2 linked regions of the Styela clava genome follow. The protein of the gene in region 1 interacts with the protein of each later gene in a biochemical or structural test. Links are inferred from orthologs where the notes say so. Each region holds a gene or a part of one and is shown on either strand. Other genes may lie near its edges.

Region 1 (7,714 bases):
GGAATCAATGCAAGAAAAATGTGCAGAACTAAATAAAAATCTTACTGCACTTCAACAAGAATTTCGAGTAAGTGACAAAAGCTTAAGAAAAATTCACGTTTAATTTTCAGTGCTTGAATATTATAAAAACACAAGATAGGGAATAAATTTTTTTAAAGTTAGTTCTGTTTGACCTTGTTATATCGTTTGTGACGTAATTTTCGATGACGTAGTCAGATGGGGTCGAGCATAATATATATATATATAGAAAAGTTGAAGGCCGTACCCACTACGAGTACTCACTATAGAAATGTCCCTATGTATCGGTAATTTTTCGATATCAGTATCGGTTAAAATAGGCCGATATATTTAGCACTTTAATCTGATTTAGAATGTTTCAAGCAGATAAGTTAGTATACGTATGTCGATAACGGATCATGTCCGCGGCATCTTTTGCCTCCGAGTCTATTGCTCACATCATAGCGAGTAGAAACAGGTATTAGGGCGTTCGTTTTTTGGTACCATGACGTTTTATTACAATTTAAACTTCTTACTGTTTTGAAATCAAGTTATTATCATTTATACTTTCAATTTGACAATTTGATAGGTTATGCAGATTTTACCTGTTTTTAGCTATTCATGAACCATTTCATCTCAACTTATTTGACTATCTTCGCTGGCAAAGTTTTTTGTTTACATTTTCAATAATAAATGGTAAACATGACAAAATATCTATCAGACATCATGGTGAATTTTCCCGTTGCGTGACTCTTCATTCCTCGCGCCAACATCGAAACATCTACATAAACTACCATAAGATAGTTTACTTTGTGATTCCTATGGGAGAAAAGTCGATAAGACGGCTTAACCATGGGCGTACTACAACCTCTCGTCCGATTATCAGTACATGTCAGGTAGAGGAATAATTATCTAGTTATTTTATTCAGTCGTATAGATTTAAGGAAAGTGTTGGGATCCAAATTTCCATGATATAAAGCAGTCAACGATGTGATTACTTCACGTATTTTAATAAACCGTTGGTTATTCAATCTGAAATACTGTTCACTGTAGACATAGTTCGCAGACAACTTTTATAGTGATATCGGTCAGGGTTGTCCAAAACGAATCGAATATTCGAAATTATTCGAATATCAAGGTATTCGAATACCTTTTCGGCTCATTTCCGAATAATTACGAATAGTAGTCACTTTTCGCCGTAAACACGGTGTTTCGTTTTACCGGAATCTTCAAACGACTTTTTACGCTTTCTCACGTATTACATGACGATGAGTCGGCATTTTGATTGTTTATATTCAGCGCGAATGTACGTCGCATAGTGTTGCGACACATTTGCACGTTTGCGTTGGTGGACATTGCCGACATTCGTCTTTTAATTCACAAAATCATTTCCATTAGTCGAAAAATCGACAATCACCGTATTTCCCGGCTAATAAGTCGCTTTTCTAGACCCAATTTTGGCTTGATTTTTTGGGGGGAGGGGCGCCTTATTGAGAAAGCATGTTTATTTTATTTCTATGTGGCCTGCTTATTTTTCGCATTAGTCTTCTCAAGCATAATTTGTGTTAAACCTTATATTTGGTTCTTATGGGTGTGCCAATCATGATATTTAATCGTAGGCCGGTTATCGTTACTTAAAAGAGAAAACACGGCCACCGCCACCGAGATAAAGTAAGTGATTTATGACCCTTTGGTTTTGCCGATTCAGCAGAAAACGACAGGGACATGAAACACAGCTGTGAAATAACCCGTGGACGTACCGTGTGGTACTTATCACATTCCAAAATTATTTCAACATTCGGGTTGATAGGTTGTCCAAAATGATTGCCGCTTTATAATTTAAATTTACCGCTTCGTTGTTGAGAATAGTTAATTCCGTGAGTATGGTTCTACCAAACAAACATGATCTGGTTCTGTTCTGACCCTATAAAATTATAGATTGTTCAAAATGATTGTGATTTTTAACTTAAAATTACCGCTTTATTGTTAAAAATAGTTAATTCTGTGAGTATGATTCTACTAAACAAACGTGATCTGGTTCTAAACATTATTATTAGCGCATATTAGCATAACTGAACAACAGGGAATAATTTTTCTACCCGTCTTCTTGGCGGCCTATATGGGAAACCCCCTTTTTTGAGTGCTAAAAATATACATCGTCCTATTTGCCATGTAGGCTTATTAGCCGGGAAATACGGTATTTATAGCCGTAATTGTTACGATATCCAATAAATTGTCACAAGTTGGGAAACAAGTTGATTTATTAGAAAAATACTTTCACCCGCTTTCTGGAAAATAATTTTGATAATGATGGTCAAAAGTATCGATAATGAAAGTATTAATACCAAATACCACGGGTATTTGTGGGCATGAAATGTGTGGTGAACTGCCCAATTATAATTATTTTCGGATTCGTATTTACAAAATATTAAAACTATTATAACTCAAAAATACAACGGCGATTTGTGGACTTGAATGTGTAATAAAGTATAAATTATTTTTCCTACTTGTGACAATTTTTTCGAGTACGAAAATAAGAATCAAAAATTAATTATATCCGGGCACAATATCACGGCATTCTGTGGACATAAATTGTGAGGCAAACTCGCGATTGATATTAATTTTTGATTCCTATTTTCGTATTTACAAAATACAACGGTGATCTGTGGACATTGAACGTGTGGTAAACTACCCGATTATAAATAATTTTTGAACCCTATTTTCGTATTTATAAAATAATAAAAGTATTATTACACAAACATACAACGGCGATCTGCGGACTTAAAATGTGTGGTAAAGTTCCCGAATATATTTACTTTTTGATCCGTATTTTTGTACTCACAAAAAAATTGTCACAAGTCTGAAAATGAACTCATACTTTATCCCGCTTTTTGACAAATAATTTGGATAATGGTTGGTATTTAAAAGTATGGGCGTTTTACTAGGATGATTTTGTGTTGCGCAAGCATTCAAATCCATCACCGATACCACTATTTAAAATGCCTTGTCGTATTATTTTAATTCTGTTAATTAATACAACTCATGTTATATAAAATATATATCGCAATAATCTGCAAACATGAAATGCCTGGTAATATAGCCAGGTTGTAGATAGAAGTTATTCCATTGTTTATTGTATGAAAATTCCTTCATACACTTAGATTCTATTACTGGATTTTACTTTCGAAGTATTCGAAATTTCATATTCGAAAATAATAATTTCGAATGTATTCGAAATAGTGAACTATTCGGTATTGGCCATCCCTGATATCGGTACATCTTAGTAATTACTACATCAACGAAAATGGGTGCCGTACAGAACAAAAATCTTGGCCTCGCCAATACGTCGCATAACACCGTTGATTGTTGTATTTTGAGAACCTTGTCAGTTGTAATCCTTCACGGACCTGGAATTTACTTGACCTTATAGATTTGGTTTATCTTGCATCAGAGCCTATATAATACGTTGATGCAGCGCGTTCACTACCGTATATCTTTGTGTTGAAATTTGCAGTGGTTTGAGTAATTGTCTGAGACATTTTGTCAATAAAATTACATAGATCCAGCATACAATAAATTCTTTCGCTAGCAAAAGAGGATTTATTGGCTTTGGCTAAATTCAACACAACTCGTTATAATTAGGATAAAACCACTTTATACTGATTTTATTTATATCAGTCTTCTTTAGTGCACAAATTTTAATGTCAGATTAAATATTGCCATATGTTGGTTCTTATATGCCCTGTACATTACATAGATCACAGATCGTTAGCACTATGCTTGACATAACCGGCAATGGGACATGCTCACAACAATATAGGCTAATCAACACTATATATAATTATTTATACACGCATAAAATGTTACCATTACAATTTTCTCTCTAAAAATGAGCACCATTTTCTTAATATTTGTTGGTAATAAATTGTAGTATTTGATTAATACCCAAATCTATCGATTTCTCATATATTTGTTTGCAAAATTCGGCTAATTTTGGGCGTTGGTTTGCTGAATAAATATTTAACAAAATAGCATCGTCATGAGAGACCTTATTCTTGTTTGAACTTCCAACAAGGCCTTAAGACTGATGATTGATTGCAGTCAATATTAGTTGACTGAAATGAATTACATTCGTAGAATAAGTTTAAAATATGAGTGAATAAACTTGGCAAATATTCGAAGTAAACAGATGTTGGCCCGAGCCTTGACCCCAGAAATTTTTCTACAGTTAACCATTGCAAAATGGGATCTTTCGTACAACACCCGCGCCAAACGCTCAAAACAAGAAAATTTGTAAAAATCCGATTAGTGTTTGAGTTGCAGATTGCGTTGGAAATTGTCAAATCATTTTGAACCTCAACTAGATAATTACTAATTTGTTATTTAAAAACATAGCGGTGTCGTTTTCCCAAATCCCACAATTTTGCATTAGTGTCGGGGGCTTTCTACAAAAGATCCGCAAAAAGTTTGATGTTTATTACAGCAATGTTTTCGTGGTTTGAAATGTACAAACTAGTTCACATGTTCATAACCATCATTTTGATTCAACGTATCTGCTTACCTGCTATTAAAAGTACCGGTAGCTAATTTTAGGATAGTCTATCTCGGCTTTTTAGAGAATAACTGTTGATTCTGTAACTAAACTGAAACGTCAGAAAATCAATCTAACGTTTCTGTCATGCTCAAAAATCCCTCTGGGTGTTTGAACGGCTAAAAGTTGTTTGAACGGCTGCTAAAAGTTCAATTGTTGCGTCACATTCGAAATTTTGCTGACTAGTTAATGTCAGCCACTACGCCACCGTAATCACGCATATATATAGAAGAAACCTCGAATGAACTACGCGGGAATTTGTATCGAACTAGCATCGCATGCGCTCTCTCACCATCACAACGACGGGTTAATTAAAATATTATACAATGTCATACCTAATCTGGGACAATTTAAATCATAAGTTGATTTTGTTTGGTCCCGCAGAATACAGCTGCGCAGAATTGATGCATTGGAGCTGATAAATAATTCCGACTACATGACTAACTTAAACATCCTTATCGTAAAAATAAACACTGCTTTCGGAGCGATCTTCGGATATAAGGTTAACATTTTGCGTTACTAAGCATTCGTCAAACAAACACCAAACACTGCTTTTTACTTATGAACTTATTGTAATTTTAAGCCACGGCAGAAAATATTCACAAATTAAATTTTATTCAGGAAAAATCGGAATCAGAAAGTGAGCTCAAAACGAATTTGAGTTCAAAAGATGATGAGATATTAGAGTTGAATAACAGCGTAAAAGCTCTGGAAGAGAAACTTGACGTATGATTTCACTGAGTGAAATGCGAATCAGTGTGCTGTTTAATTCCCTCTAATTGATTTTTGAACCTAATGATTATTTTTAATTAATTTTATGTTTTATTTATCGTAACTATTCATTGGTAAAATCAATAATTAATTTTGAGGCTTAATTCAAAAATAATTTAAGTTGTTTCAAATTTCAATACATATATATGATTTAATTTTAAAATCTTTAAATACGAACATCATTGGAATACGTAATCGTTTATCATCAAATAATTTATCATATATTTACAACTATCGCTAAATACAAAACAATATCGGACTACATTGAGTCTGCTACCGTAACAGTACATATTTGGGCGCTCCCGAAGATGGTTCACAACCTGAACCCTAACCTGGTATACACATACTATGTTCAGGTTGTGCGCCATCTTGGTGCACATACTCTTGGAGTTGAAACTAATAACTAAATGTTTCAATGCTATACATGTAATGATATAAATCATTTATATAATTATAAAAAATCGAATGACAATACATAACTCTTGGCTTTGCTTTACTCTTTCTGCCGTGAAGACACAAATACATTTACGACGACACGGCGCAAATTACATGCAATAATTTGCACTGCTGTGAACTTCAGTGCCGAAATAAACTCGCGTTAGCGCGTTAGCATTCGGAGAAATTTATATTTTTCTTATGTTTCTAGATAAACGATAAAAATTTCCAACGAAAAGAGAAAGAATGGGGAGAAAAATTGCAAGAAAAAGACAAGAAAATCAAACAAATGGAGGGAACTTTTATAGATGTTGTAAGTTGACTCTTCTTATCTGGTTAGGTTAGATTACTACTTTGAATACAATCTCAATGCCCGGTTTACCTAAAGTCATTGTCCTTATAAATTTTCATATCACAAACTCATGTTGGAAATTGTTTTATTTTTTATTCAAATTTGTTTAAATTACAGCTGTTTTAAATTAATACACTGATAAATTTTGTTCATTCATTTGCATTAACATGCCATAAATGTCTCGAGATCAAGCCTTACGAAACCATGACTACGGGAAACTTAAAATAATGATTAAAGATTGTCAATAACCAATTTTATTCGTTTCTCTTAGATGCCGCCTGTAGAAAAACGACCTCAAAGGCGTCATCGTCCCGGTGTTGGAGGAAACACGGTGAAAAATGATAACGTGAAAGCTGTAAAAGTTGAAAAAAATCTGAATGACAGAAAGTTTTTATTGGATGTAAGTATTTTGATACCTTATATAATGGTTTATTCAATTCTTTCGATTTCCAGTCTAATTTTTAGACTTGCTGCTATTTTGTTAATGTGATAAAATTCAACCTCGTCACGTAGAGAAAATAGACTAGACAATTCAGTCAATGCGCCCTTTTCTGAACAAAAATTGGATCAATGAATCGTATTGCAAAACTGTTTTCGTGTCGTCTCGGCAACCAATGGACCTACAGATTTTGAACTGAAGATGGAGGAAAATGCCAGAAGATTAGCCGTTTCAGTCCTACGGGGCCTGGCCTTTTACTCTCATTTCGCTGGTTTTCATATATCACGGCCTCATCCTTCCGTGCTATTTAATATGACATTAGGTACAATTCTTGGAGCCGTTGGTCGAACATTTTATGAGATTGCAGTGGCCATATTAGTCATTTGACTTTCGTGTCCATATATTTAAGCATCGTTCTCTCGTGAGTGCTCAATTTCGTAATAGAAAAATATTAAAACAAAAGTCAAATAGAAATGCAGTTATTCAAACAATGTCATTTTAATTCAATACAATAAATATCAATCTCATCCAAATTGCTTCGACTTACTTTCAATTCACCGATAAGTAATTTGATACAAATTGATTTATTCATTTTTGTGTCTAATCAATATTTCCATCGTTATTCATTATCTTTGCGGAGAGAATTGTGGAAAGACAAATGTAGTCAATTTACATATCAGATTGCCTCATTCTACCACTCGCAGGTGCAAGTACTTTAAAAAATAAAAGAGTAATATTTTTTAATTAAAACAGATAATGTTCTAAAAACAGGTATAAAAAAGCATATAAATTTTGTTGATTTGTCAAATTTTGTTGGATTGGATAACCCAGATGCTGCTGACCTTGACTGTTTTTCATACAGCATTAAATTACTTTAGTCTGCTCTTTTGTAATATATTTGTTTCTCTATTTCAGGCAATCGCATCTAATGATCTTCTGAAACGTTCTGATGAAAGACAAAAGCAGGAAATGGTCGATTACATGCAGTATGAGGCGTTTCCTCAAAATAAAGTAATAATAAAGGAAGGAATGTACGGAGACCGATTTTATATAATTCAGATCGGAACATGTGATGTAACACAGGTAAATTTAACCTGTTAGTAGGATGAGTGAGTGACACACGGCCTGT
Region 2 (7,212 bases), on another chromosome or scaffold:
AATTAAAGAGATTTAAATCTGAACGAAGTTAGGCCGACCACTAAAGTGCTACAGAGACTAAAATGAATTGGATCCTCGCGATATACTGTATGCCGCGGGCCTGGGTGTCAGCGGAGATCCTGGACGCCTACCGGCTTGTTTATTATTATTATCAATGTATTTATGTTTTTTCTGGTTGACAAATAATAAATCTCTCTCTCTCTCATTCTATGCATGCCGTCCATTTGGATTTTTATAAATAAAAATCATTGCAGTATACAATATTAATAAATACTATTTCATCCTATCTATAATTCAATAACAATGTCATCCCAGACGACCCTATACATATGAATAAAAAATAAATTATTAGTTAATACAATAGTTATAATAATATAATTACAATTATCTCAAACTTTTGGTGTTACGGAGCCGTTGAAGTAGTTGATTATTATTCACGGAGCCCACAATAAATTAAAAAAAAAAAAAAAACATTGTTACTTGACGATTAATGTTTATGGGTAAGTTGAAATTACTTTATATACCCAATTCAAAAGCTAAACCTTTTATAATATATATATATGATAAATAAAAGCCATAAATGATGCTAAATTTAATATATATATATATATATATATATATTGAGATGTGCTGGCTTGTCTAGTAGGCAAAATAAGCACGTGCTTAGGGAGCAAAGGAAAATGGGGCACCACAGAAATTTTGGACCTCTGAAGTATGCGCACCAAGATGGCGCACAATCTGAACTCAGGTTGTGTACCAGGCTAGGGTTCAAGTTATGCGACATCTTGGTGCGCATACTTCAGGAGGTCCAAAATTTTATTATACAAACCCCAATGCATGCACTTATAATACAATGGAAGATTAATTGACCATAGCCTTCACATTGATTAGCTGAAATTTCATCTGAATCACGGGAAATATGACGCGTGGCCACGACGTAGTATCAGAATGAATAGAAAGGTGCGCATAGCACGCGCAATTTACTACATTTCATCTTTAGTGCCTGGGGTAGCATGTTTCACATGTCGTGGGGCTCTTTAGACAAAATTTACGTTTTTTTTTTTCATTTTTTAGTGTGTATGATATCGTTTCAATCTATAAAAGGGCTAACGCATCGCCAATTTTGATCTGAGATGTTTTATAAATTAAGAAAAGTTAACCAAGATACGAGGGGCTAGTTAGCACAAGAGACAAAAAGATTAAATTAGTATTCCTCCACTGACAGTCAGAAATTTGATTTGCACATTCACTAGTTTGAATTATCTTAGCATTTTCCTTAAAAACTAAACTAAAATGAACAACAGTATTAAAACGGGATATTCACGCATTCAACAGTTAAAGCAGCGCACACGATAGTCCCAGATGAACGCTTTCGATTGAGGTATGAATACACATGCTTCGAATCAATGTAATTTGGGAGCTCCCGAATTATGTGCACCAAGATGGCGCACAACCTTAACATAGTATGTGTACCAGGTTGGGGTTCAGGTTGTGCGCCATCAGTTCTGTAGGCGATTAGACTCGTCATAGGCTGTCAAGTGTGACGTCGTTAATTAAGTAAGATTTTAATCCACCCTATCCTCGACAGTAGCGATAGCTCAGGGGAAGCGTTGGGACATGATCAAACATTAGGATCGTGGTTCGAACCCCACATGGTGGAGTGAGTTGTAGGGGTGGACCATCAGACAAGGCACACAGTCGAGGGGAAAAGAGGCAGGCGAGAGCAGCAGCCAAGGAGAGCAGAGATGAAAAGGAAATAAATAGGAGCCAGCATGGGAGTCAGCGAAAATCGATCGGCGGGATGGCCAAGCGATAAGGTTTAAAGGTGGAGTAAAAATGGAGACAAGAGAGAGTCATCCAGGCGTAAGATATCAAGACCAGAGCAGTTGAGGGAGTAAAGGGTCAGGCAAGAGCAGCAGCCAAGGAGAGCAGAGATGAAAAGGAAAATAAATGGGAGCCAGCATGGGAGTGAGCGGTGAAGTTGAGGCCGAAAGATATCAAGGAGAGCAGAGATGAAAAGAAAAATAAATAAGAGCCCGGTGAGCGAAAATCGATCAGCGGGGTGGCCAAGCGATTAGGGTGGAGTAAAAATGAAGACAAGGGCGAGCAAAAAAGTTCAGAGGGAGCAGCAAAGGAGGGCCAAGCGATTAGGGTGGAGTTAAAAATGAAGACAAGGGCGAGCAAAAGTTCAGAGGGAGCAGCCAAGGGAGAGCAGAGATGAAAAGGAAATAAATAGCGTGTGAGTGAGCAAAAATCGAAAAAGGCGAAGAGTGAAAATCCCACCCAGGACACGTATCCTTCAGGTTAGCGACCCGATAAAAAGCGAAAAGAAAATCCCCACCCAGGACACGTATTCAAAAAGCCCCCCCCCCCCCCCCCCAAATCGCAGTCAAGATTTCAGGGCGACCCGATAAAAAAAGGCGAAGAGTGAAAATCCCACCCAGGACACGTATCCATCCATTCAGGTTAGCGACCCGATAAAAAGCGAAAAGTGAACCCAGGGCACGTATTCAAAAAGCCCCCCCCCCCCCCCCCCCCCCAAATCGCAGTCAAGATTTCAGGGCGGAAGATAGAACGACAACAATTACGAATATAAAAAAGCCCACAGAGTACGGAAAACATTCAGAACTGGGGGTGGTAGGCGCAATAAAAATCAGCTGGGGGAAAATTGAAAACACTGGAAAAGCACTGAAAATAGAAACTAACGAGAGAGGTATTTTAGCCTGCAACTGTTTTGTTGCTTAGGGCCTATAAAAAACATAATCCGGCCCTGATATTAAGGCTTTACTTTTTTGTTCTCGTGCGAAATTGTGAGTTCAGTGTGAAAAACAAGTTAGTATATTATAATTATCGACGACGAGATGATAAAAATAAATAATAAAGAGGTGGATCCGCAACCCAAATTTCTTGATTGAAAAGTGGCATTATAAAATATTAAAACTAAAACCTAAAACGGAACGGACATAAGTTTTGTTCTAGCAAACTCGAGGCAGTTTTGATAAGTAATGATTTTATATAATCGTAAGTCGACTCAACCACAGTTACATCCAACACAATTAAACCAAGGAACAATGATCGGTCATGAACTGCTCAATTATAAATTGTACTCATTGAGATTTTACGCCGACCCTGGGATTTTCGGAAAGGCGATATTTTGCTTAAAAATAATCTTGAGGGCTGAAAAAACAACACAAATTCAACGAATCAAAATATCGCGAAAATATGATTTCAGTCTATTTAAGTCGTCAGTTTAGCACGTGTTTGATGTCATTTGAGAATAATAATATTTCATTTCATTTATCGTAACAGTAATCTCAACTCAAAAGGCGGGTAACAATAAACACATATAAATAAATTTGACAAGACAATATAAATATTCGATTCCAAATTTTAAACCGGCTCTCTATTTAAAAATCCTGGCTGCGCTGCTGCTTATAGATAATGTCATATATAATTGAATTGCCGCAATATTGCCAAATTTTGATGCCACAGTTGTGAAATTTCATTAATGTTGTTGTTGCTTCTTTGGACAGTTACAAAATTAGCCTCCACACGGAGCACTTTGAGAACCTATGCTTTATAAAATTACTGCATCTATATATATAGAAACGGGCAGCCAATAATACACAGTTGACAAATTGCAAATTAGGAATATCATCAAACCCTATGAAACATACTTTTATACTGAGACAAAAATTCATATCCTCTGTTTTAAAAACTATCCATTGGTCTACCTCAGACCAAAATTGACTTGTTATGGGACAATAATAAAACAAATGTAATAAAGTTTCAATAGTATGCTTACAAAATTTACACATATTAGTATCTACTAGTCCAAAGCCGTGTAATGTATAGTTTAGAACTATATATTTTAAAAAGTTTAATTTGGAAAGACCTTAATTTTTGTTTCAATAGTTGATAAAAAGGAAATTTTGAAGTAGCTGTCCCACTTCACATTGGAAATATTAAATGATTCTTCCCAAAATGATTTATACATACTTGGGGGAACAAACCTTTTCAGTATTATTTTCCTATAAGCACTTTTACACAAGTAGTCTTCAGTGGTGGTTGTGAGAAATGCTATAAAATCAAAAATGTCATTGGTTTTGCAATCCATTCGTGTGCGACGAGAATCGCGCCTCAAGTGTGCAGATGTGATTGGCAGAGCATTTCTCGTCACACAATTCAAATTATTGTGCGCTTTTTCTTGCAGGAACTGGTCCGGTCGTTTTACTGTATTATCGTTGCATTTTATGTTTGACGTAACTTTATCCATCGTCTTTAACGCTGATTTAAGTAGAATTCGTTACAAATGAACGGACCGAAGTCACATCTTTCGGTAAGCATAAATTATCTTGTTTATGTTTGGTTCTGTGGTGTGGTTTACTTAGTCTTTACCCTGTTACCCGCGGATGTCAGGATGTGGTGAAGGAAGTGTTCTAACGTTTAAACCAGAGGTCGGCAACCTACGGCCCGCGGAGTGATATATTCCGGCCTGCGACGCTTCGCTGAATTCTGGAATTATAGTAACAAAATAGGGGTCTAGTATAGTTTAATACCACAAGTAGGCTACTTCCAGTCGGCGTAGCATACCGGTAACGATTTTTGCATATGTTATTCCTAACCCCCATATGACTATGCCATTCAAAAATCACGTCACTACGACGTCGCCATCACGTCATACTGTCATAGGGATTGCCAAAGTATAATTACGATCGCCCGAAATGGCATCTGCGCCGCCGATAACGAACTTGCCAAAGCCGGCGATCTCGCGACGAGAAAACGAGGAAAATAGCTTGCTTGATTTCGGGTGATCGTCTGCACGTTTTGAATGACCATTCGCATACTTCGGTGGGTCTTATCACGCCACTGTGACGTCAGAATGACGTAATTTTTTGGTGACGTAGTCACGTTCAGGGGTTAGAATTGACATATGCAAAAATTGTTGAGCCAGGCCAACTATAAGTGGATGTGGTACTAAACTATACCAGACCCCAAAATAGCTGTTTTGACATTAATATTCACTAAGTAACTGAATTTATTGAGAGACATGTGTAGACTAAATTATAAATTTAACAAGTATAAAATTCACAATTCCTCGTTTGATGAACATAACATTTAATTATAATTAGACAAATGGCAGGAAAACTCAGAAAAGTTCATACTAAGTTTAATGACGCCACAAATATTCAAATGGATGATTCAATTTTATGAGATGCAATGCAGTGAGGAAATAAATGTAGCCTATATTCTATTCGAAAGATGTATCACTGCTTGTTTTTTATTATAAAAAATATCATCCGTTCGTTTTTCAACTTTCTGAAAATATGTGCGGCCCGCCAATGACTTACTGACTTACGACCCTTTTTTAGGCCCGCGAGCGACAAAAAGTTGCCGACAACTGGTTTGGGTTTAGACGTTAGTCCACCACATCATGCACCCAACTCTGTCAACTTTTGGTTGGGCAATTTGACTCCAACTATATTCAGCTTGGCGATATCTTTTTATTAACATTAAATGTTTTTCTTTATTGTTCACTCTGGTTTATAAATCAATATAAGTGACTTTTTTCTGTATTTTGCTTGTGTTATACTCTGATTATACGGATATAGTCTACACTGCTACAGGCGAAACTGGGATCTGTTTGTTGCTGTGTTGTACAGTTGTAACGTTCAGAAGAAGAAGAAAATACAAATTACGACATTAGCTTATAACACAAAAACTGAGGGCGCTTGCTGTGCCCCCCTGATATTCCTGCGCGGACCCCAATTTGAGAGCGACTGTTGTATATTAATCTGATAATTGCACTTATTTTATTTCTGTATTTAGCCAAGCTGCATGAGACCTCCGCTACGACCAGTAAATTCCGCAGCTCCAGAAAGAAGAAGTGTCCGTAATGTCCAACAAAAGAAGTAGGTCGTTAAAAGCATAGATACTAGTCACAGGACATTTGTTTACTGCTGTCTCATGTGTTCTGTGAGACCATGTGTAGGTACCTGTAGCGTTTCAGTTGATTTCCAATTTGTTTTCTTAGATTTCATCTGGCTTCTGTGAATTCCTAGCTAGCTGGTCAATGGGGTTTCATGATATGAAATAACCAACCCTATACCTTGTTTCCTACTAAGAAGTAAGAAATCCACCCAAAATGGCAGCTGAATGAAACAGTCAAGATATTTCGAAAATAGATTAAAATATTGGGTTTGTGTCACTGGCAATTTGCTCTAACTTGCGCATTAAAATACGGAAGCTAAAAGTTAAATGCAGTGATTTATTGGTATTTCCTAATTTTCTGAAGTCACTTGGTCCTGTATTTTATTTATGTTTGAAGCTTTTTGGTTCATAGTTGGAATGTAACTTATGTAAACTAGACTATATATCAAAGAACATGAAATTGTGGAAACATTATATAACCAATCAACTTTCCTATAATTGATTAAATTCTGTGCAAAACAGGAGTTTATTTATCAGGGATTGCCAGACTAGATGTTTATATATTCACTCCATTACCAAACCTTTAATAATATCTCAAACATGTTCTGTTGTGACCGTTGGGATTTTACATTACCATTGGGAACCATACATGCGATTTATAAACCAGTACAATATTGAGCTTCATTGATAATAGGTGAAGTTTCATTGCTCTGAAATTTCAAATATTTATTTGATAAATTTTATTGTATCAATGACTACACTTTCTTCCACCTCGTAATTGGAACCTCAGTGATTTGACTGTATAAGTAGTTACCATGATATTTTCATGGCAATATTTATCATATATTTATAAGGGCATTGCAAAATATAATCCATTCCTTTTAGTAAACCACACTTGTATTAATTTTCAGGCATTGGTCTTTGGATAACTTTGATATTGGTAAACCTCTTGGCAAGGGCAAGTTTGGAAATGTATATCTGGCAAGGGAAAAGGAGAGCAAATTCGTTGTGGCATTAAAGGTTGGTATTTGCAAATATGGTTGAGAGATCACCTCAATTTAGTTAACATATGCCAGTCCCAGATTTTGGAAATTTTTTAAAATTGTTATGATTCAATCAGGGCTGGAGCTGAGAAATTTATCTGGAGCCGCAGCTGTAGCCAAGATTACCATGTTAGATAGAGCCGCAGCAACAGAAATTTTAGTGACTCCGGGCGTCTCCGGCTCCTAACTGGGGTGAAATATGTTTCGCATTGAATATTTTCAACGGATAATGAATATT

What was found.
Region 2: of the proteins of E3 SUMO-protein ligase PIAS2-like (region 1) and aurora kinase C-like, one has a biochemical effect on the other in vitro, tested with the Caenorhabditis elegans proteins (2 studies listed by BioGRID). The link is inferred for Styela clava from reciprocal best matches to the Caenorhabditis elegans genes gei-17 and air-2.

What each region holds. Positions count from the first base shown.
Region 1 is NC_135261.1:9,102,662-9,110,375, forward strand, and holds the start of E3 SUMO-protein ligase PIAS2-like, read right to left. Parts: upstream 3,038-7,714; 5' UTR 3,028-3,037; intron 68-3,027; coding exon of another isoform or gene 1-67. Other genes in the region: cGMP-dependent protein kinase 1-like, read left to right, coding at 1-67, 5,210-5,314, 6,006-6,107, 6,418-6,546, 7,501-7,668. UniProt on the Caenorhabditis elegans protein: Functions as an E3-type smo-1 ligase. Mediates smo-1 conjugation to air-2 in vitro and is required for proper chromosome alignment.
Region 2 is NC_135254.1:24,608,156-24,615,367, forward strand, and holds the start of aurora kinase C-like, read left to right. Parts: upstream 1-4,175; 5' UTR 4,176-4,312; coding exon 4,313-4,339; intron 4,340-5,829; coding exon 5,830-5,912; intron 5,913-6,842; coding exon 6,843-6,951; intron 6,952-7,212. UniProt on the Caenorhabditis elegans protein: Serine/threonine-protein kinase component of the chromosomal passenger complex (CPC), a complex that acts as a key regulator of chromosome segregation and cytokinesis.